Linked DNA regions of Canis lupus familiaris. The protein of the gene in region 2 interacts with the protein of the main gene of each other region in a biochemical or structural test. Links are inferred from orthologs where the notes say so. Each region holds a gene or a part of one and is shown on either strand. Other genes may lie near its edges. The genes, in order: MAPK8IP1, MAP3K11 and MAP2K7.

Region 1 (6,708 bases), about 8.1 Mb from region 2:
AGGCTCAGACATCAAAGAGGTGGTGGTGGTGGGGGGGCACCCTGCCGTGGCCCTGTCCCAGCAAGTGAGGCAGGTCAACGCCGCGCCCCCACACTGGGGGTTCGCTGGGTTGGGGGGCTGCCCAGAGCCTAGGGTGGGGGAGGGCAGCTCCAGCAGCAATAGCTTTGCAGTCACCCGGCGGAAACGGGGCTGCTGGAACCTGCGGCCGGCTCCCTGCTCTCTGCTGCCCCCTGGGTAGGAATGTTCTGAGGCCCCAGTGGGGCTCTCTAAGCTGGGCCGCCCCGCATCTGTGGTCTGGCCCCACCCTCTCCAGGCGCCCCAGGCGCCTCCCCCAATGCCCTGCCCCGAACGCTCCAGTGGGTCCCCAGGGAAGGGTCACCCTCTGCAAACTCAGGAGGTCTCCTCCTAATTTTGCCTCCGTGCCCACCAAGCCTCTCATGGCCCACAGGGTGTCCCATCCCCAAGGGGCCCAGCACCCGGACCCCTGGCGCCCCAACCCCTCAGGGCACATACCTCAGCAAGTGGGTGAAGCCAGCCCCCCAGTCTTCCTCCTGTCCCCTCCTGCCCCCCCCCCCCGCCAGGTCCCAGGCAGGAGGGCCCAGCGACCCTCCTGAGACAGCCATCCAGGGCTGCCCTTCCTGCTGAAGCCCTGCCGCCTCCGACGGGGCGGGGCCCTGGGCCTCTGACCGCCCCTGCTGGCCGCTCTGGCCAGCCCTCGTCTGTCTGTCCATGTCCCCTCTACACGGCCACCTGCATGATGGTCGGGCAGTGCCTGCGCCTGCGGAGCAGCTGACCAGGGAGGCCGCCAAAGTGCAAAGTCAAGTGAGCAAAGGAACAGCCACGTGTGTACCGTCCTGGGGGGAGAATGAGGAGCTCTCTGCGCCCCCCTCGGTGGCCACAGCTCCATCCGCAAGGCAGCAGGGCGACGTAAAAGCCACACCATCCGGCAGCCAGGAGGCCCAGGGTCTGCCACTCGCCATCTCCTGCGCCCCCCTCAGTAAACGGGGAGGGGTGGCGGGGAGGAGGAGGTTTCTGAGGTCCCCTCATCCACGGCTCTCCTCCCACGTGTCCAGGGCGGGCTGCCCGCTGGACTGCCCATGGGCACCCGGCGTCGCCCCACAGGCACCGTCCCACTGTCCCTCCCCTTTATCCCACCTACCCAGCTCAGTGTATGCGTTGGGTACGTTTCTAAAGTCTCTTTTCTGGAGTTTTCCTTACAATGAACAGGTATCACTTGAGTTTTAAATTCGCTTGTCTAATTTTGGAAGTTACAGAAGTGACCTATGCTCCTTGCAGAAGTAAGATGTCAAATGATCATAGAAGTGCGTAAAATAAGTGAAATCCCTCCCCCGATACCACATCTGGAGGTAACTGCAGGTAACTGGATGGAGCATTTCTACAATCAGAAGGGGGAGCAAAGAAGGAACACCTGTCTATTTAAACCAACCAGCAGCAAACAAATGCTCCCTCTCCGGCTTCCACGTCCACCCCGTGCTTACTCCCTGCACACCACCCCCCGCTATTCCAGAGCTCCCCCTTTTCAGGGTGGCCCTGAAGCCAGACTGCCTGCATTCAGACCCCACCTCTGCCACCCTAGCCTCTGTCTGCCTCCGTTTCTTCATCTGCAAAGTGGGGATAATAGTAACGCTCTGTTTATACAGCCCTGGTGAGGATGCTCTTGCGTAGAAAGCCCTTGGGAGGGTGCTGGGCAAAGTGAGCGCCTCCCCGGGGCCAGCGTCCCCCCCACCCCCTTATCCTCTGACAACACGCACTGTTATGCTCTGAGCTCCAGGAGGACAGCGCACAACTGATCCTTCATAATAACCCAGTACAGCATTACTGAGCGCCTACTCTGTGCCGGGCACTGGGCAGGCCGAAGTCTAGGGACTGCCTCCTATGCCTTCTGGAAGCTGACAGCAGTGCTGGGGGCACACACACAGTAACAACCACAGCCCTGCGTGAACGCAGCTCTCCGCAGCCCTTGAAACACTCAACACGTGTCCCATCCAAGTCCCAGGACCGTCCTGAGCAGGAGCCAACAGTCTTGGGGCACACAGCTAAGGAGGCTGAGCCAGCCTGCACACCCAGGCCAGTCGGATCCATGACCACGAGAGAGCGGCAACACCCAGGGTTATCCCGAGCTGGGTGAGGGGCCAGGCGAGGCAGGACAAGGGAAAGGTCAGCGGGGGCTGCTGGAGCAGGCAGGGCAGGCCACGTGGGGCCGGAGACACTGCCCTTATTATTTCCAGAAGCTGCCCTTGTCCCCACGGCCAGGCCATGGTGTCCTGGAGGGCTGGCCCACGCCTTGGCCGTGGCGCACTGCTGTTCTCACCCACCTGGCCCAGAGTGCATACTCACTGGCTGGCGTCCACCTCATCAGTCCCTCTCACTAAAGCATCCAGGATAACCTGCCTGCCAGGGGAGGGCACTGTCACCTGGGGGTCTGGAAGCAGGTGGAGGGAGGCAAAGCTGTCCTCCGGGCCACAGACAGGGCCTGGCGACCGAGTGGACTGAACACCCAGAGACGGCCCGAGGCTCTGACTTCTGCGGGGTCCTCAGGCAAACCACTGCCTGCTGAACCTCGATCTTGTCATCTATAAAATGGGCAGACCGACCCCCACGGCCATGAGGGTAAACGAGCCTGCCCCTGGGAAAGCTCCGAGCAGTGATGAGCTATATAAATGCTCACCAGCATGGAGGGCAGACACTTGTTGAGCACCGACTTGATGCACACGAAGGAATCAATATTAGCTCACCTGTCAGATGGGACTGTCAGGTCGCTCAGCTAGCAAGTGGTGGAGCTCGAATTTGAACCCAGGTCCCTCTCAGCTGTTCCACTGCAGAGGGGCCTCCCAGCAGGAAGGCAATATTTGCCTCTTGGCAGCTTGGCCAGGGGAAACTGGTCTCAGACCTCAGCCTCATTATTCAAGAGGCACCAATCACAAAGGCCCCGGCCCTGGAGCCCTCACACTTGGCCTCCTCCATCTGGTCCCCTCCCTCTGGTCTTCCCAGCTTCTCAGCTCAGGGCCTCAAGGGAAGTTTCTACTGCTGCTGATGCCATTAGAGATCCTCAGGGGTTCCTACCCACCTGAGGGCCAGGGAGCCAGCAACCCCTTGGTCAGAGAGGGGCTGGCGCCAGAGCCCAGCTGGGGCCCGGCTGGGGTGGGGGGCCCAGGAGAGGGGAAGGCGCCGGCTCATTAGATGGAGAAACAATGGGGTACGTCTAGGCCTCCTCCTAGGCTCTGGAGCAGTTACACTGTCTTCTTCCTCCTCTCCAAATGGGGCCAGGATTATGGTGGAGGGATATCCATCCCTTGCCCACAACACCCACTGCCCACTTCCCTAAAATCCACCTCCCAATTGCCTAATAGCAGATAACCGGCAGAGAGGGGGGAGAAAGGGAGCTCAGACCACGGTCCTGGGGACCTGCTCCAGCAGGGAAACCTTCCACCCAGTGTCCTTGGCTACTCCTGGGCTGTCCAAACCAGACTCCCTCAACCAAAGCTGGGCGTAGTGTCTCCTGAATGGGTCGGAGCCTTCCGTGCCTGCACACACCTGACCAGGTCAGTGCTTGCCCACCCAAGTCCACAGGGGTCCTGACCATGCCAGTCCTGGGAGTTAGGCCCCTCTGACCAGACAGGGCTGGGGGAGGGGCCCACGACTTCCTCCTTCCGGCACCAAGGTTGTCAGTTGCCCCAAGAAACTGGGAGCCACGAGGCACCCCATCCCCGCACCCATGTCTATTCAGAATCCTGTGGACTGGGCAGAAGCAGAGCATTAGCCTGCCTGCCTCCTCCGCTGTCTCAATCCGGACCCCAGGCCCTGCCGCAGTCCCAAAGTGGGGGAGAAGGCGGCCTCTGCGCCCCCCCCTCCAGTTCCCTCTAGAATCTCCTAGCCTGGGGCATGGAATGGCGGAGGGAGCCGCACCGTTGGCTCTGCAGCGGCTATCCGGCGGGACGGGGGGCTGAGGGGGTTTCTGGGGACCCTGCCCAGGGAGGAGACCCCCTCCCCGCGCAGCCCCTGCGTTCCCCAGGTCGGTGTGTGCGTGTTGGGGGCGGGGGGCGGCGGGCGGCGGGGGCCGGCGCAGATTACCCGGGCCGAAGGGCGGGGCGCGGCGGCCGGGGACTCTCACCTGAAATTGGGCGGCGACGCGATGTGCAGCCCCAGGAACGGGGAGGCGGCAGGCGGGGACGCGGCCCCCCCGCCCAGGCCGCCGCTCTCTCGCTCCGCCATTCCCCGGCACAGCCCTGGCCATCCGGGCGGAGCGCGGCGCAGAGGCGGCGGCGGCGAAGGCGGCGGCGGCGGAGGGGACGGAGGCGGGCGCGCGGAGAGGCCGCCGCCGCCGCGGGGCTCGGGCTGGGGCGGGCGCGGCGGGCGCACCTGCGCAGGGCAGGGCGCGGCTCCGGACCGCGCGCCGCTCCCGGGACTGGCGCGAGCGCCGCCGCGCGTCCCCGGGCCCTCGCCGGGGTCTCGTGCGCCCCGCCCCGGCCCCGCCCCGGCCCCGCCCCGGCCCCGCCCCGGCCCCGCCCCGGCGCTCTCCGAGGTGCTGAAGCGGCGGCCCCCGCGGCCCCCGCGCCCACGCGGATCCCTCCGCCCTCCTCCCCCTCCCGCAAAGCCCTCGCGCGGTGCGGGCTCTGCGCCCTCGGGGGGGCCTGGCGCCCGGGCATGAGGGAGCTAATGGCGGGACCCGGTCCCCTGGGCCCTAGTGGCCCCCAGCAGCAGACAAAGAAGGCGGGCAGGACCGGAGGGCCATGGAGGAAGGAGGAGGAAGGCGACATGGTGTCGGCGTGGGCTCCCAGGGCAAGCCGGGGTTGGAGTCAGGTGGTGTGAAGTCACAGCCTGGCTTCCCAAGTGAATAGGTGGTGTGGCCTTGCATTAGTGACTTCACGGATCCTAAGTTTTCTCATCTGTGAAATGAGGACAGTAATGGTCCCTCTCGTGGTTGTGAGGATGAAAAGTAATACAAATATGTTGTCACCGGCGGCAGGGAATACCCCACCTCTGCCTAGAACCCAGGTCTCACCCAGTCCTGTCCCCTTGAGGAGACCCTCTCATGGACTCTCCCTAGAAGATTTTCTCTCTAAAGATTGACCCAGTTATTAATGGGGAACTGAACCTTTCTCTAGGCTTCTCTGTTTCTCCTCCCTCACACCAGGACTTTCCCAGATTTCTCTCAATTGCATTTCCTGCAGAGAACTTCTCATTTGCACCCACAGACACCCCATAGCTGGTTTCCCACATTCTAAGAGTAGGAGCCACTTTTCCTCCTGCTGCCATGGTTGACTTCTTGGGATTCTTCTTATGGTTTTTCTGTTCCTTCCAGCACCTCTACCCCTGCTAGTTTGGGGCCACAGTTCCTTTCTGGTCTCTCCCCTACGAGGGCTAAGCCTGTGAGTTCTTTTACAGAACACAGACTGCTGGACACTCAAACTGCTGGCAAGGCTAGGGCCCCAGCTTTGGTGGGTCAAGAGCCTCTGACCAAACCTCATTGGTCTCTCTGGCCTCCTGAGAACTGCGGAGGCTCTGTCCTTACTTCTTTCCGAAGAAGGGGCAAACTGTTTCACAGCTTGTGGGATCCTATTTGCAAATCTGGACTGCCTACTGGTCACACCACTCCCTTTTCCTTCAATGTAGCACCCAGAAAGGAGCTGCAGTCACGTGCCCTGCAGGAAACAACTCCCCACCTCCAGCCCCAAGAACATCCCATTACCTACTGCCAAAGGCTCTTCTCCCTGCCTGTGGGCCCAGAGGAGTGGCCACTTTACCTTTCTTGCTATCTTGGCTCAGCCTCCTTTCACTAGGACCAAACAGTAGCCACCTTCTGCTCAGATGCCTGGCTTTTGCTTCCAGGAAGTGGTCTTGGCCTAGAGGTTAATAATTGTTGCTTAAGAGTGTGTGCTTGCCTCAGCTGGGAGCATCTTCAGGTCAGGAGTGTGTGTGTAAGACAACTTCATTCTCCAGAATCTTCTGCTGGAGAACAAAGCTATTGTAGCTCCTGAGGCCAAGCCAAAGTCACATTAGAGAGAAGCCAGGAGAAGGGAGGGGGGACGGGCAGGTCCAGGTCTTGGTGGGAAGGAGCTTCAAAGCAGATCTAAGAATGAAATGAATCCCAAGCTCCTCCCGTTTCCCCCTTTCTCATTCTGTGCAGGGCATTTTGTGTATCCTTGGGCCCTCTCTGAGCCCCTGCCCACACGAAGTTGGGGTGTGGTGTATTAACAAAAGTCTTTCTGTGGCCCAAGGCTAGAGACCATCATAGAAAAGCCCACATATGCTGCAGAGAGAGGCCGCTCTCTGGCCAGATGGCATGAGGCAAAGCCAGCATCCAGGCCCTGGGCCTGGCTGCGGGCAGATCTCAACCACCCAGCCAGAGTCCGTGCTTGCCGCCTGCATCCCCTGCACACCACACGGTGCTTAAGTGGCTGAATCAAGATAAAGGATGGATTGAGGGCCTGGAGAGAGCCCTGCTGCCACTGACTGATCCTCAGCCCTGGAACTTTAGGTGGCCTGAGAGGCAGAGGCACTGCAGGATAGCACTCGGGAACCTCATCTTAGGCCTGGAGTACTCTGTACCATTCTGGCTGACTGACTCCCCAACTCTGGCCAAGCTCTGGAGCTGCCACTAGTCTGCTCTGGTTGCTCCCAGAGGTCTCCTGCTTCCTCCATCTCTACCCATCCCTCTCCTCCCTGCCAACTCTGAGGAGGGGTGAG
Region 2 (6,900 bases):
GACTCTGGGAGAGAAACAGGGGAAGGGGGGGGATGCAATCCCTGGCTCCTTCCTCTCCCACAGCACCCCCCTCCCTTGGTTCTTTCCTCCCCGGCAGGCAGCTGGGGTGGGGAGGGAGCAGAGGCTGGAGCAGGGGCAGGAAGCCGGCTCAGGGGCAGCAGGAAACGCAGGAAGCAGTGGGGAGGGTGGGGAGCAGGGGCCTGGGCTATTGTTCCATTTTTTCTGGAAAGAAAACTGGAGGAAAAACAGAAGAAGGGAGTCCCCTCCCCCAAAGCCTTCGGGGAATCTCCCTTGGATTGGGGCAGGGAGTGGGGGTCCCTGGAGGGCTAGCACCAGGCTGAGCAGTGAGAAGTACCCCACTGGATGAGAGGAGTAGGTGGGGTGGCTGGCAGGCCTTTCCTTGTCCCTCCGGGCCTGGCAAGGACTCGGATATTACTGGGTTATGGCGTCCTACTCCCCAGAAGCCACTTGTATATGGCCAGCCCAAGCCAGGCGGTCCAAAATATCTATGCTCACCCCCCACCAAGAGCTGCCCAAGCCTCTCCAATAACCCATCAGCTCCTTCTGCACTTCCTATTGCTCTACAGCCTGGACCCTGGTCCCCCCTTCCCTGGCAAATCTAGCTCTGTGTCCCCACTATTGGGGGCACGGTAGGTGGCTCTGAGTCCTGCCTCTTTGCCTTTGCTCTGGTCGTGTTCTACCTGAACATCCAACAGGGTGCCTGCTTTGGGCCTGGTGTGAAGCTTATCTGCTCCAGGAAGCCCTCGGAACCTGTCACTCGCTTGTCTTGGGCCCATGCTGGGCAGTGTGTTGGGCCTGAAATGGCTGGAGATGCTGTACTGGACTGCTTGAGTCTCCCTTAACCCCACCAGGCCCACCCTAAGTGCTAATTCCAGGCAAAGCCCTCTAGGTGATCCAGCCCTCGAATGTTCCCCCACATAGCTGCAGACCCACTGTGTGCCAGGCAGCAGACACCAGGCTCACCCAGCCCCTTACACCATTTCACCTTCCTGGTCACTCCCTTTTTACAGAGTCCAAAATTGAGGCTCTGAGTTGAAATAACCAGTTAAAGGTCATGTAGTCAGGGGTATGGGCAGAGCCAGAATTCCAGCCCTGTCCCCAGCCTTGACCACCACGGGGTTTAGTGGGGGCTTTCCTCTCCAAGATCTCTGTTCTGGAGGAGCTTTCTACCCCAAGAACAGAGCATCAACAGCATGGGCATGAACTTTAGGGGGGGAAGAAGATGACTGCCAGCATCCAGAGCTCTACTGCCTTGAAGTGGTGCCCATGTTAGGCAGGACACTTATGGCTCACTTGAGAGATCCCAATTTTTTAACCTGGTGGCTGTGAGCCAGGGTCAAAGACTCCTGAGGCTGGGGCTTGAAGGACTGTTCGGTGCCTGGGTCTCCTGCTTTGCGGCCAGTGTGGGTAAATGGCACCCCGACTCTACTAGGACTCCCCTAGGGAAGGAGCTCCTGCCTCGAGTAGATCCCCAGGGGACTCAGCTGAGAAGTTGGCTGGTGTGTGCTTGGGCTATGCCACCCTCCAACCATGCTCCCCAAAACTCACTGTTGTTGGACTTGAGGTCTCGGTGGATGACAGGCACCAGGGCCTCACAGTGCAGGTAATGCATCCCACGGGCAATCTGCACAGCCCAGTTGACCAGTACGTGGGGGGGCACACGCCGCCCAGCCAGGGCACGGCTGAGGGGCCCACCAGCTGCGTACTCCATCACCAAGCACAGGTTGGGCTCCTCCAGGCACACGGCCTTGAGGGCAATGATGTTGGGGTGTGCCAGCATGGCGAAAAGCCGGGCCTCCTGGCGCACACTCTCGGCTGTCACACTGATGTCCTCATCGGGGTCCTGGCGAGCTGCCTTCACAGCCACCAGCTCACCTCGCCAGCTGCCGCGGTAGACCTTGCCGAAGCCACCGATGCCGATCACCTCCTCCAGCCGCAGCTCTTGGAAGCTGGCCACCTCGCAGGGGGGTGGGCCACCGCCCCGAGACACATAGTTGGATGGAAAGATGCCCACCTGGCCACCCACCTGGCCGGCCCACCAGCCCTCATCGCCTGAGATAGCTGCATCCCGGGACAGCACCTCCACACGGTCGCCCTTTCTCAGGGCCAGTTCATCCTGCCCATTGGGCTCATAGTCAAACAGGGCTGTCCACACGGGGTTGGCATAAGCCGCTGTCTTCGGGGACCCCTCTGGCCAGCCTCCGCCACTGCCCCCACTGCCCCCACCGCCACTGCTGTTCCATGACCCCAGCGGGCTCTTGAGAAAGAGGTTCTTCAAGGGCTCCATGGCTGGAGTTGATTTGGGGGCAAGCAGGGTATCTTCCCTGGGTGCCCCTGGTCCCCACCCCTGCTGGCTGCTGAGGCCCTAGTCCCGGAACCTGGGCATCCGGGCCCTGGCCCTCAGCTCCAGACCCACACCTCTCTGGGGAGCCAGGAGTATTGACTCCCGGCCCCCCGCATCTCGGGCTTCTAGAGGGCCACCCAGGGCAGTGTGGTCAGGCTCTGGGGGTGGGACCCCGGGGCCTCCTGCGTCTCACCATGGCCAGCTTGGAGGGGCCTGAAGTCCCTCCGTCCCAGAGCAGTCCTGGGAGATTGGCTCCAGCACTCGCCAAGTGCAAGGTGGGGTCCGCAACGGGCAGCGCGGGGACTCCGTTGGGTCTCTTTGCGCAGGGGGTGGCTGGCGTGTTCCTAGTTTGGCCGAGCTGCCGCTTCCCAGTCCGGCTCCCTCAGCCCGACGGCTCCAACCCCGTTCCCTTCTTCCTCCTCCCTTTGTACTTTGGCCCCGGGGGCGGGAGGCAGAGGTGGAGGGTGGAGTTTCACTTTTTTCCGCTCTTCTCCTTCTTGCAGGAAACAGCATCAGATGACGCGGGCGGGTAGCGCTGCTCCCCTCCCAGAGGCTGCCGGCGCCGGTCCCGGGAGTTCCCGGGTAGGCGGGCAATGAAGGGCAGGAGGGGATGATCGCCCCGAACACCCATCGCAGAAGGTTCAGGGTCAGGGTTGGTCTTTGCTAAGGACAGGCCATCCCTTCCGCATCCGCATCCGCAAAACGGGGTAAAGAACCTGGCTTGGGAGTGGGGCAAGCCTAGTCTTGGCTCCGAAGTTGCAGGACTGCATAACTCATCTTTTCGCCTCCTTCCCTTCATAGCTGAAATAGGGACCAGAAGCTCTGCTTGGGATGGGAGTGGGCAAGACTGGAAGACGGAACTGGCTGCATCTCAAACTCTTGGAACGAGTTGTCTAAGACTGTCCTCTTCCCCTTACCTGGGAAACAATCCACTTCTTCACCCCAAGCCAAGTGGGCGGAAACCTGAGACTGTAATTCTGAACTTCGCCCAGTGGTTGGATTCAGAAGAGCCAAATTGCCCTTACAGCTGCTGGATGGACAGACCCCGCCCCCCCATTGCCTTGAGCCTGTCACTTTAAGAAAAGCGACGCTATCCTATTTCTATTATTCATGCCTGTTCTGGAGGGTAGCTCTCCACCCGCTAAGTCTGAGCTCTGACCCGGAAGTAGAGGCTGCTTGGGGCGTGAGTGCGGGTACGCGGTCCTACACTGAAAGGGGCGGACCGAGAGGGGCGTGCCTCGGTGGTGCACAACTATCGCAGTAGCCCCGAGAAGTCCACGCCTCCTTTTGCTCCACCTCCTGTAACTCACTGAGAGAGTTTTGTGCCAATTAATCCCGCCATTACTCAGTGGCCACTCAACTATCCCTTCGGTTCCGCCCAGGGGTGTCCGCTGGGTGGACAACGCCTGGGCGTGCGCATGCGCCCTAGCGCTACCACTTTTGGAGCTCTTTTAGGCCTGGACTCCGCGCACGCCCAAAGGGCTCCGCCGCGTCTTAGCGCTCCACGACCTTCCTGCGCGTGCGTCAGGTTTCATGCCTTCAAGTTTTCCTTTTCCGGGTCCCAACTAGGCCGGTCGGGCGCATGCGCCACTGCTGGCTGGCGGCTCGCTGCTCCTTCCGGCCTCCCCCTTGGGCCGGGTCCCGCAGTAGCCGGGCGATCGCGGAGACCGAAGCGAGTGACCTGTAACCCCGGAAGTGGACCTCAGGGTCCCGGGGCTCTCCCCGGGCCGGAGCCGAGGGAGCCGTCGCCTGCATCCCCGGAGCACCCACCCCACGCCCATCTCTGGATGCCGCCGACGAGGGTCTGGCCCGTGCCCCGCGCCTGTCTACCGGCTCGGCCTCTCGGAGCAGTTGTGGGCCAGGGGTGGGGGCCTGGACCCCGCCCCTGATGAGGCTCCACCCCCGCGTCCAGGCCTCGCACCGCTGACTGCCCGGGTCGGCCCCGCCCCCTGCCCGCCCCCTCGCCCAGCCGACCCCTCTCTCCGGCTGTGGGAGGCCATGGCGTGAGCGCGAGGCCGGGCCCCGGGGCCCTCGGGCGCCAGGCGGGGCGTGGGCCGGCGGCCGCCCCCATGAGGGTCCCGGGAGGGGGGCGCGCGCAGCAGCGGCGGGGCCATGGGGTCGCAGGTATTGCAGATCCTGCGCCAGGGGGTGTGGGCCTCGCTCACCGGCGGTTGGTTCTTCGACCCGCACCAGAGCACCTTCTCCAACTGCTTCCACCTTTATGTCTGGATCTTCCTGCTCACCTTTCCCTTCTTGCTGTACATGGTGAGATGCTCCCGCCACCTGTAACCCCCCTCTGGGGAAAGGGAGGGCAGATGTCACGGAGGGGTGCCAAGCTGGCAGGGATTTGGGGATATGCCTTGTGGAGACAGAGGACCCCCTGCAGAGTTTGGGGGTATATGGAGAAGTGGCCAAATTATTCCTTTCCTGGGCTGGGTGACCTTGAGTCTCTCACTTAATTTCTCTTCAGTAAGAGGACAGAGTTCCCTGAGGAGGGTCTTTGTAGCAGTTCCGAGGGATGGGTGATGAACTCTTGTGAACTAGCTATGATTTTGGTGGTAGGTCTACCCCATAGGGACAGGGCTGCGTGAGGGGGAACCTGACTTGTTGCCACCTCCAGGTCCTGCCCCCCAGCTTGATGGTGGCCTGCGTGTACTGCCTCGTGGTGGCTGTCATCTTCACTACCATCAAGACTGTGAACTATCGGTTACACGCTATGTTCGATCAGGGCGAGATTGTGGAGAAGCGTAACTCTACCATGGGGGAGCCAGAGGAGGAGCCTGCACAGGGGGACAGCAGTCTGCCCAGGTGAGTCTCGGAGGGGCTGTGTTGGGAATTAAGGGTGCTTAGTGCCTGGGCTTAAGCACTGGGGCCTTAGGGACATTGGGTCCATGAGCAGGTGGGCACTTGTTCTGTGGTCAGCCCCAGACTTGTGAGAGGACCTTTGAGAAGAAAGGAGTGCTGGGGTAGTGGAGGAAGTATAGTATAAAGGGGCAGGAGGTTAGCTGAAAGCTGATGCTTTTCTCCACTGCTAGGGACCCTGGAGTGGAAATGACAGTGTTTCGGAAAGTGAGTTCCACACCCCCGGTACGCTGTAGCTCCCAGCATTCTGTGTTTGGCTTCAACCAGGTCTCGGTGAGTGGTCCATAGCTACCCCGTCCCACTCCTCTCCTGGGAGCCCATCCCCATTGGGGTATGTCCTGAGTCTACTTCTTACTCTTTTTGTTCCTTCATTTTTCTCTTTGCTCAGGAGCTGCTGCCCCGGATGGAGGACTCTGGGCCCCTCAGAGGTAGGTGGCTGCTGCTCAGGTCTGAATTTGGCGGTGTGGAATGAGATGGCACAGCGATGCCTCGAAGTCCTGCTGACACCTGTGGGGCCGTGGTTGCAGACATCAAGGAGCTGGTGCGAGAGCAGGGCAGCAATAATGTGATCGTGACCTCAGCGGATCGAGAGATGCTGAAGCTAAGCTCACAGGAGAAACTGAGTGAGTGGGGGTGACGTGGCAGGGGCTTAGGGGGAGGACTAGCTATCTGGTCTTTGAGTCACCTCAACTTTTGCTTCTCCGGAGCTCTCTTTGTCCTTTAGGATGGGGCTTTCTCGTTGTCCTGCCCCATCTGCCCCGTCCTGTAGCCTACCTCATCCTGTGGCCTGGCCACAGGACCCCCTCAGCAGCTGGTTCCTTTTGCAGCATGCCCTCCCCTCATTTTGTCTTCCTTTTTTCTGATAGTTGGAGACCTTCCCCAGACACCCCCGGGGGCTGCCCCAGACCCCTCTCTCCCCAGCACAGACTCTTCAGAACGTTCTCCCTTGGCTGGGGATGGAGCCCCCTGGAGTGGGAGCAGTGTGGCCGACACTCCCATGAGCCCCCTTCTGAAGGGGAGCCTCAGCCAGGAGCTGAGCAAGAGCTTCCTGACCCTGACCCGGCCTGAGCGGGCCCTGGTGAGGACCAGCAGTCGACGGGAACAGCGCCGGGGAGCAGGCGGCTACCAGCCCCTGGACCGGCGGGGCTCGGGTGAGCCCACGCCCCAGAAAGCAGGCTCCTCAGATTCCTGCTTCAGTGGCACTGACAGGGAGACGTTGAGCAGCTTCAAGAGTGAGAAGACCAACTCAACCCACCTGGACAGCCCTCCCGGTGGGCAAGCCCCGGAGGGCAGCGACACAGACCCACCCTCTGAGGCTGAGCTGCCTGCATCGCCAGATGCTGGAGTCCCCTCAGATGACACGCTGCGTTCCTTTGATACAGTCATAGGAGCAGGGACACCACCGGGCCCAGCTGAGCCACTCCTGGTTGTGCGGCCCAAGGACTTGGCCTTGCTGCGACCCACCAAACGGCGGCCACCCATGCGAAGACACTCTCCTCCTGGCCGTGCCCCTCGGCGGCCCCTGCTTGAAAGTGGGGGCTTCTTTGAGGATGAAGACACCAGCGAGGGCAGTGAACTGAGCCCAGCCTCTAGCCTCCGATCTCAGCGCCGCTACAGTACTGACAGTTCTTCTTCTACTTCCTGTTATTCCCCTGAGAGCTCCCGTGGTGCAG
Region 3 (6,864 bases), on a different chromosome or scaffold from region 2:
GCTGGCAACAAGGTGGGGGACCAGAGCCCCATGTGCCCCTGGAGAAGACATGATCCCCCACTGAACCCTCGTACCCCAGGCCCTGGTGCTCTGGAATGGGATCCCTAGCTGGGTAGGGCACTGGCTGAAAAAGCTAAGTGGGGCCAGAAGAGGACCTTTCCGTGGAGAATGGCCAGGAGGCCTGGGGCCTGCAACTCTCCCACAACCCTCAACTGACACCCTCTCCTCTGCCTACGCCTCCTGCCACGGTCCACCCCTTCCTCCCACAGTTCTGCAAGCACCTGGTGATATGGGCCCAAAGGACAGAGACAAATATGCTTGAATTGCTGGTATCGGGGCACTTTCTCTGCCTTGTTACCCTGGACCCTGGCCACATGTAGAGCGAGGGAGCAGCTACGTGATCCTAGCCTGCAGTCGTAGGAGGGATACAGGTCTTCTCATGCCTGGTCAGAGCAAAATAAGAGCTCTGGGGACCCCAGGGAGATGGCCAGGCCCAGCACCCTGCCCTGGCCTGCAGGCCTCACCTCCTGTGCTCCCTCTCTCCTGCTCTAGTCCCTCTCTGTGTTACGCCCTTGCTTCACTACTCTGTGAGGGCCAGAGTCAGAGTCCTAACCCCTCTCTTTCTGGCTCAACAACCTCAGGGGCATCTGAAGGCCCCCATGCTCCCCTGTACCTGGACTCTCTGGGGACACTGCCAGGCTCTCACTCCCTGGGGGGTGTCTGGGCCCCTTTTCTGCCCCGCATGGTCAGGTCCTCTCTGGGATGAGGACCACACCCCTACCCTCTCCACACTTCTTGGGGCGGGAAGGGAGATGCTCCCAGTGGTCCTACAAACTGAAACACGGTGGGTACTTGAGGGTGACCAGTGAAGGGTGGCTAAGGTGGGGGGAGGGGAAGTACACAAAGGCCCTGAGAACAGAGGTTACAGAGGTGGTGACAGGCCACACGGCAGGTCAGGAGGGCACAGTGAGAGCAAGAGGCTGAACAAGAGAGAAAGAGAGAGAGAGAACAAGAGCGCATGGAAACACATGGCCAAAAGGAGCCACAGATGTACCAGGCTGTCAGTCCAACACGTATGTACGCGCACACACACAGCGCATGGCACAAACCCCCACACGTGTACAGACAACATGCCGAGAGCCCTGAACAGGGCCAGCCTCACGCTGTCTTACACACACACACACACACACACACACAGACACACACACACACAACCTGCCCAATTTAGCTCCCCCTACACAAGGGCCAACTGGACCAGACCTCACCCAGGTGTCTGTCTCTCTTGCTCTCACACTCTCTCTCTCACATATACACATGCACACCCTCCCCATCTGCTCCAGACCCGCAAGTAACTGCGCTCCGGCCTCAGGCCTCGGCGGGCTGCTTCCTCTACCTTCATTCACATCTCCCCACCTCCCCCGAGCCTGTGCTGTAATCCCAGCTGCTCTAGAGGCTTCCCCGACTGACCACCCCTTGCAGAACCCCAAGCTGGCTCTACTTTGCCTTTTCTACAAAGCATCACTGCTTTGTCCACTTCTCCCAGACCAGGAGAATGCTGTCAGTGAGCGTCAGCCACACAACGAGGGGCCCTTGGTCCGTTCTGTTCGCTGCTGTGTCCCTAGAGCAGGGCAGTACATGTTGGCTGTACGGTTGAAACAAATCAACAGGCACAGCCCGATGGCCTAGCCCAACTTTCCCTCTCTCTCTCTCATACGCTCACTCACACGTGCGACCTCTCACAGGCGGCAGACTCCTGGTCAGTAAAGGAGCCCACTTCCTCTTCCAGGGAGTCCAAACCTGAGCCCGCCAGGAAGGGAGGAGTGGAAGGTGAGCGGACACAGAATTGGCCAAGTGGGCCAAACACTGTTGATCACTGATTGTGTGGAAGGAGAAAAGAGTGACAGGCGCACACACGCACACACAGCATGGGGGGTGGGGGGGAGGGCATTCTGCGGCGGGGCAGCGGTTAGGTCAATGGTGCAGATGTCCAAGCGACGATGATAAAAAGGCTGGTACCTGCTCGTTGGGACGGGGCAGGAGCAGGGCTTAGAGTGATCACAATAACTGGATGGGGAAAAGGAAGAAAAAAAACAACACCACGATAAATCACAACAGAAACAACTGATTTGTCCAAAAGAAAAGAAATCAAATCATAACGAGGAAGAGGGGGAGGCGCGAGGCACCAAACTGCAGAGACGGGTAGAAACCGACAGAAATGGGAGGACCGGGAGGATGAGATGGAGCTGACACAGACACAGACACCTGAAGGGGGCTCCTCAGGGGCCTGCCCGCCGTGGGCCTCACCATACCTCACTCTGGGACAGCCACCCTGTAAGGCACCCCTGGCCCCAGACCCAGCCCTGTCTCTTCCATGCTGGGGCCAGGGGAGGCAGCACTGCAGAGCCCAGCAGGGACCCTCCAGTCCTGGGAGGCCTTTCTGCCCCAGGGAGGAACCCACACCACCCCAAATCAGAAGAGAGAGAGATGGGGAGTGAAGCGCACCCAGGGACTGGGGGGCAGTCAGGCCGTGAAGATCAGGCTGGGTGAGCGGGGAGTGACTGCAATACTCTGACATGGGGGTGTGTTCCCCCTCCTACCAGGATGACCCCACAGGGAGCTACATAAGCTACAGGGATCATATCAGAAGTACAAAGGAGGGCAATTTGCCAGCTCAAGAGAGAGACACAAAGTGCGTGATGAGGTGCTACCCATCAGGTCTGTGGGGAGGGTGAAGACCCGATGCCCTCCAGCTGAGAGATTTGGGGAGGGGGGTTCAGTGGGACATAACAAAGAAACTAGACAGTGGTCCAGTGGTCGTGGCAATCCCAGGTCAGGTGTGATTGTTGGGTGGGGGAGGGCAGGAGGAGGCAGCTTTTGATTCCAGGCAACAAGATGCAGGGAGATACACAGAGATAGTGGGATCAGATACGAGGTGTGTGTGGGCTGGGAGGTCTAGATATCACCACCTTGGCTTCAGGTATCCCTAGGCCAGGTGAGTGTGGGCGTGCAGGAAAGAGGAAGTCACTCGAGTCCAGTGGGCGAAAGTTGCCAAGCTGAGAGTTCGGTGTGTATTTTTTGAGAAGCTAGACAGTCACCAAGATGGTGGCAGTGAAACGGGTCAGAGAAGTATGAAGGGGCCTGGTGTATGTGGGTAGGGTGTGCGTGGGAGGGGGGGCCCCCCAGGCCCAATTACAAGGTCCCCGCCCGGGGGAAAAAGGGATTACCAGACACAGTCACAGGAAAGGGGGTCAGAGGAATAGGGAGTTACAGTGATCAAATGACCTCAGGTGTCACCTGGGCCAAGTGTGCTTGTGTGTGAGTGTGAGCGCATCCCCCACTAAACCATATGACAGGGACCCAGGTGCCGAAGGGGAAAGGGGCCTCCTGCCAGTCACTGAGATGGCAGGAGTGAAGTCGTCCGGTCGGAAGAGACGTGTCCGTGTTTGCGACGAACCTGGATGTGGTCACAGTCGCATGCATTGGAGGGAGCGCGGCTCCGGCTCTGGGTAGGTGACGGTGACATAGGCTCTGAGGATCCCGCGGAGGGGGCGGGCCGTCAGGTGGGGGGCCTTGCCGGGTAACTAGGCTCGTAGGCCCCGTGAGGGGGAACCCCTACGTTGGGGGCAGAGCCGCCCGGGAGCCCGCGGCCCCACGCCCCCCGGGTCACCGTGACCCTCTCCGCGCGAGCCGACAGCAGGGGGTATGGGGTGGGGAGGAGGAGGAGCCAGAGCGCCCCGGAAGCGGGGGCGGGGCCTGACGGCGGGGGCGGGGCCTCCCGCGGCGCGCGCCCCGCCCCGCCCGCCCCCTCCCCCACGCTGCCGTGCTTACTGGGCCTGGGCCGCTGGGGGCTGATATCCAGGTTGAGGTCGATCCTCCGCCGGGCCTCGCGGTTCTCCTGCTTCAGCTTTGCTTCCAGGCGGGACAGCTTCTGCTCCAGGGAGGACGCCGCCATCTTCCCCGCCGCCGCCGCGCACCGCCCGGCCGCCCGTCAGTCCGGCAGACAAACACCGCACTGCGCTTGCGCCTGGATGACCCCGCCGAGCCGCCGTCTCTCCCCGCACGGCGCATGCCCGCGGCGCGCACTCGCCCATCCCTCGTGCTAACGTCCGCGCATGCGTGCCTCTTCCCAGCTGGAGGGATGACGCCACCTAGAGCTCGCGTCTGGCAACGAGCAACGCCTCTCCTGGTGGTGCGCATGCGCGGACTGCGTGTGGCAATCCATTCACACTGTTGGGCCGAGAGCGGCGGGCGGGGAGAGCGGCGCGCCTGCGTGCAGAGGCGCGGACGCGATCCCGCGCGCGGCCTTTACTGCGCCTGCGCAACCTTGGCTCGCTTCTCTGCCCCTGTTGCTGGGAGTAGCTCTTGCAGCGTGTCCTCCCCAGCTTCGTTCTCGCTCTTCCCCTCCCGGCCTGTTTTCTGGCACCCACGCTCTCCCAGCACTGCCTTTCTCGTCTGGGACAGTGCTTCATTAGGATCCCTGTTAGGCTTAATTGCTGTCTCTTCACCATAATTAGGCGCCCGTGGGGAGCCCTTTCTATTTCAGCAAACTCGGGGTTGGCCAAGGGCTGGCGGGAGGGGCAGGGTAGGGCTCGGTCACTGGAGGGGCCCCAGGACCAGGGGCATGACCCCTGATCTCCGGACAGGGTGAGGGGCAGGGCCAGAAGAGTTCCAGGTCAGCCCCCTCAAATGGGGTATTTTAGGACTTTCATCTTCCCAACCCCGGAATGTGAGCCCAGCTCCTGGACAGTGCGGAAGATGGGCCTGGATGTTAGGGCGCCTCAGCCTGGTCTCCTCGCGGCTCAACTGGTCTGTGGGCGCCCGGGAAAATGCCCCCATCTGGGATCCTGGATTTCGGAAAGCAGCTTGCGTCTGCTCTCAGTTGCGAGGAAGAGGCTCGCATTTTTTCAGACTCCTTGAGGTGTCCAGGCCCGGGAGGTCCAGGTCAGGCAGGCTGTGCCCTATGCCCTTCCTGCTCCTGGTCCAGCACGGGAACACTGGCGGGCGCGGAAGGCTTGTGGGGACTCCCGTGGTGACAATTTGCGGGTGGAACAGATGCGAGAGTGTGGAGTCCGGAGAATAATAAGGAATGGAGAAGAAAGAGAGTTCTCCAAAAAATAGCTACGCAGATGATGCCTGATAAGCCGAGGTCTCTCCTGCCTCTGCTTCCAGGACAGAAACTCATACCCTTGATTCCGCCATGTGAGTGTCATTGCTTGCCTGTTATTGGTCTGGCGAAATGGAAGGCTTAGACAAACAGGAGTGGATACCAGAGATCGGAAGTTTAGTTCTCATAATTCAGATTATTTATTAAGCACCCACTGGTAGATGCTCTCTCACACAGGAAACACTGGAAAGACAAAATCCCTGCCTCTGCTCAGAAAAATTTAACCTCCTCGGCAGGCATTCTTAACACTGGAGTCTGCCATCCTTAGGATGTCCGTGAATGGCCCTCTGGGAAATCTGGGGGAATTTGCTGACTGCCTAAAGTTGCTTGCGGAACTTTGCATGTATGTGTACCTGAGCATTTTCCTGGGAAAGGAAACACCCAGCTTTTCTCAGATGTTCAAAAGGTGTAGGACTTAGAAAGGGTTCAGAATCCCTGCTCTGGACTTGCAGATTCTGTAGGTCCGCAATTCCCAACACACAGGTCTAGGACCACCTGCATCAGAATTACCTGGGATGTGTATTTGCAGGCAGGTTCCTGGCCTCCAGCCAGACCTGAGTCAGTCTTTCAGGGGTGGGGCCCAGGATGTTTTGTTTTGGGGATGTTGATTTTGATGCATAGCCAAACACGAGAACCATTTTTCTGATTTTGCGTGTCCATAGCAAACAACTTATAAATAAGGATTTGGCATCAAAGTTGGGGGCAAGGGTCACTCATTAGTCCCTTGTGTCTGTGTCCCCTCCTTGGGAGAGAACACCAGCTATAAGGTGTTTTGAGGGGTGGGGGAAAGGGCTGAAATCCCATTGGGATGTGCCCCAACCCCATATATGGCACTAACTAGGCCAGAATGTCCAGGGTGTGGGCAGGACAGCCAGCCAAAGACGCAGGTGTGGTTTGGGTCTGAGAATCCTATGACTGAGTTAATCCCTCTACGACGTTCCACCCCAAATCCACAGCCTCTCATCTCTTCTCAGACAAACCAGTCCCAGGATCTTGCCTGGAACCCATGGTGGCTGATGCGTCTGCTCCTTCTCTCCTGGCCTGGGCCCTCTTGGCCACCTCTCTTGAAGACAGTAGTAGAGATTCTGCAGTGGAAGCATCCAGAAGGCCTCTACCCAGCCTTCCCCACCTTTGCTTCATTCCTCCTCCAGTTTCTCCCGCACCTCTGCCGGCAGGCCCTCGTAAAGGGTGTCTTCTACGAGGATCCCCACTTTCTTGAGCCCCACACAGTTGCCAAGCTCTTCTGGTAGTGCCTCCAAGCGGTTGCCCTTGAGCTCCAGGCGGCTGAGGGCTCTGAGGGCCCCCACCTGGGACGAGAGCTGGCTCAGGTGGTTGTAGCCCAGAAGCAACGTCCGCAGCTTCCGGCAGAAGAAGAGCTCATCAGGCAGGGCCTCCAGGGCATTGTAGGACAGAGCCAGGTGCTGCAGGTTCTGGAGGAGGCCCAGCTCGGGCGGCAGGGAGCGTAGCCCATTGTGGGAGATGTCCAGCAGGCGGAGGCCGGAGCACATGCCGAGCTGGGTGGGCAGGGTCTCCAGCTTGTTGTGGCTGAGGTAGAGCTGCTCCAGGCCCCGGAGCTTGCGCACGTGCTCAGGGACGTAAGCGATCTGGTTGTGCCACAGCTTGAGCGTGACCAGCTTGCGACAGTGCTGGAAGCTGAGGATCTCTTCAATGGACCGCAGGTGGTTGTCCCTGAGGTCAAG

The links.
Region 1: the proteins of MAP3K11 (region 2) and MAPK8IP1 form a complex in vitro, tested with the Homo sapiens proteins (2 studies listed by BioGRID). The link is inferred for Canis lupus familiaris from reciprocal best matches to the Homo sapiens genes MAP3K11 and MAPK8IP1.
Region 3: of the proteins of MAP3K11 (region 2) and MAP2K7, one has a biochemical effect on the other in vitro, tested with the Homo sapiens proteins (2 studies listed by BioGRID). The link is inferred for Canis lupus familiaris from reciprocal best matches to the Homo sapiens genes MAP3K11 and MAP2K7.

What each region holds. Positions count from the first base shown.
Region 1 is NC_049239.1:43,956,829-43,963,536, forward strand, and holds the start of MAPK8IP1 (C-Jun-amino-terminal kinase-interacting protein 1), read right to left. Parts: upstream 4,284-6,708; 5' UTR 4,234-4,283; coding exon 4,133-4,233; intron 1-4,132. UniProt on the Homo sapiens protein: The JNK-interacting protein (JIP) group of scaffold proteins selectively mediates JNK signaling by aggregating specific components of the MAPK cascade to form a functional JNK signaling module. Required for JNK activation in response to excitotoxic stress.
Region 2 is NC_049239.1:52,091,289-52,098,188, reverse strand, and holds the start of MAP3K11 (mitogen-activated protein kinase kinase kinase 11), read right to left. Parts: upstream 3,665-6,900; 5' UTR 2,309-3,664; coding exon 1,570-2,308; intron 1-1,569. Other genes in the region: PCNX3 (pecanex-like protein 3), read left to right, coding at 4,478-4,630, 4,986-5,173, 5,401-5,500, 5,616-5,655, 5,755-5,850, 6,094-6,900. UniProt on the Homo sapiens protein: Activates the JUN N-terminal pathway. Required for serum-stimulated cell proliferation and for mitogen and cytokine activation of MAPK14 (p38), MAPK3 (ERK) and MAPK8 (JNK1) through phosphorylation and activation of MAP2K4/MKK4 and MAP2K7/MKK7.
Region 3 is NC_049241.1:52,999,085-53,005,948, reverse strand, and holds the start of MAP2K7 (dual specificity mitogen-activated protein kinase kinase 7), read right to left. Parts: upstream 4,046-6,864; 5' UTR 3,953-4,045; coding exon 3,829-3,952; intron 2,065-3,828; coding exon of another isoform or gene 2,017-2,064; intron 1-2,016. Other genes in the region: volume-regulated anion channel subunit LRRC8E, read right to left, coding at 6,301-6,864. UniProt on the Homo sapiens protein: Dual specificity protein kinase which acts as an essential component of the MAP kinase signal transduction pathway. Essential component of the stress-activated protein kinase/c-Jun N-terminal kinase (SAP/JNK) signaling pathway.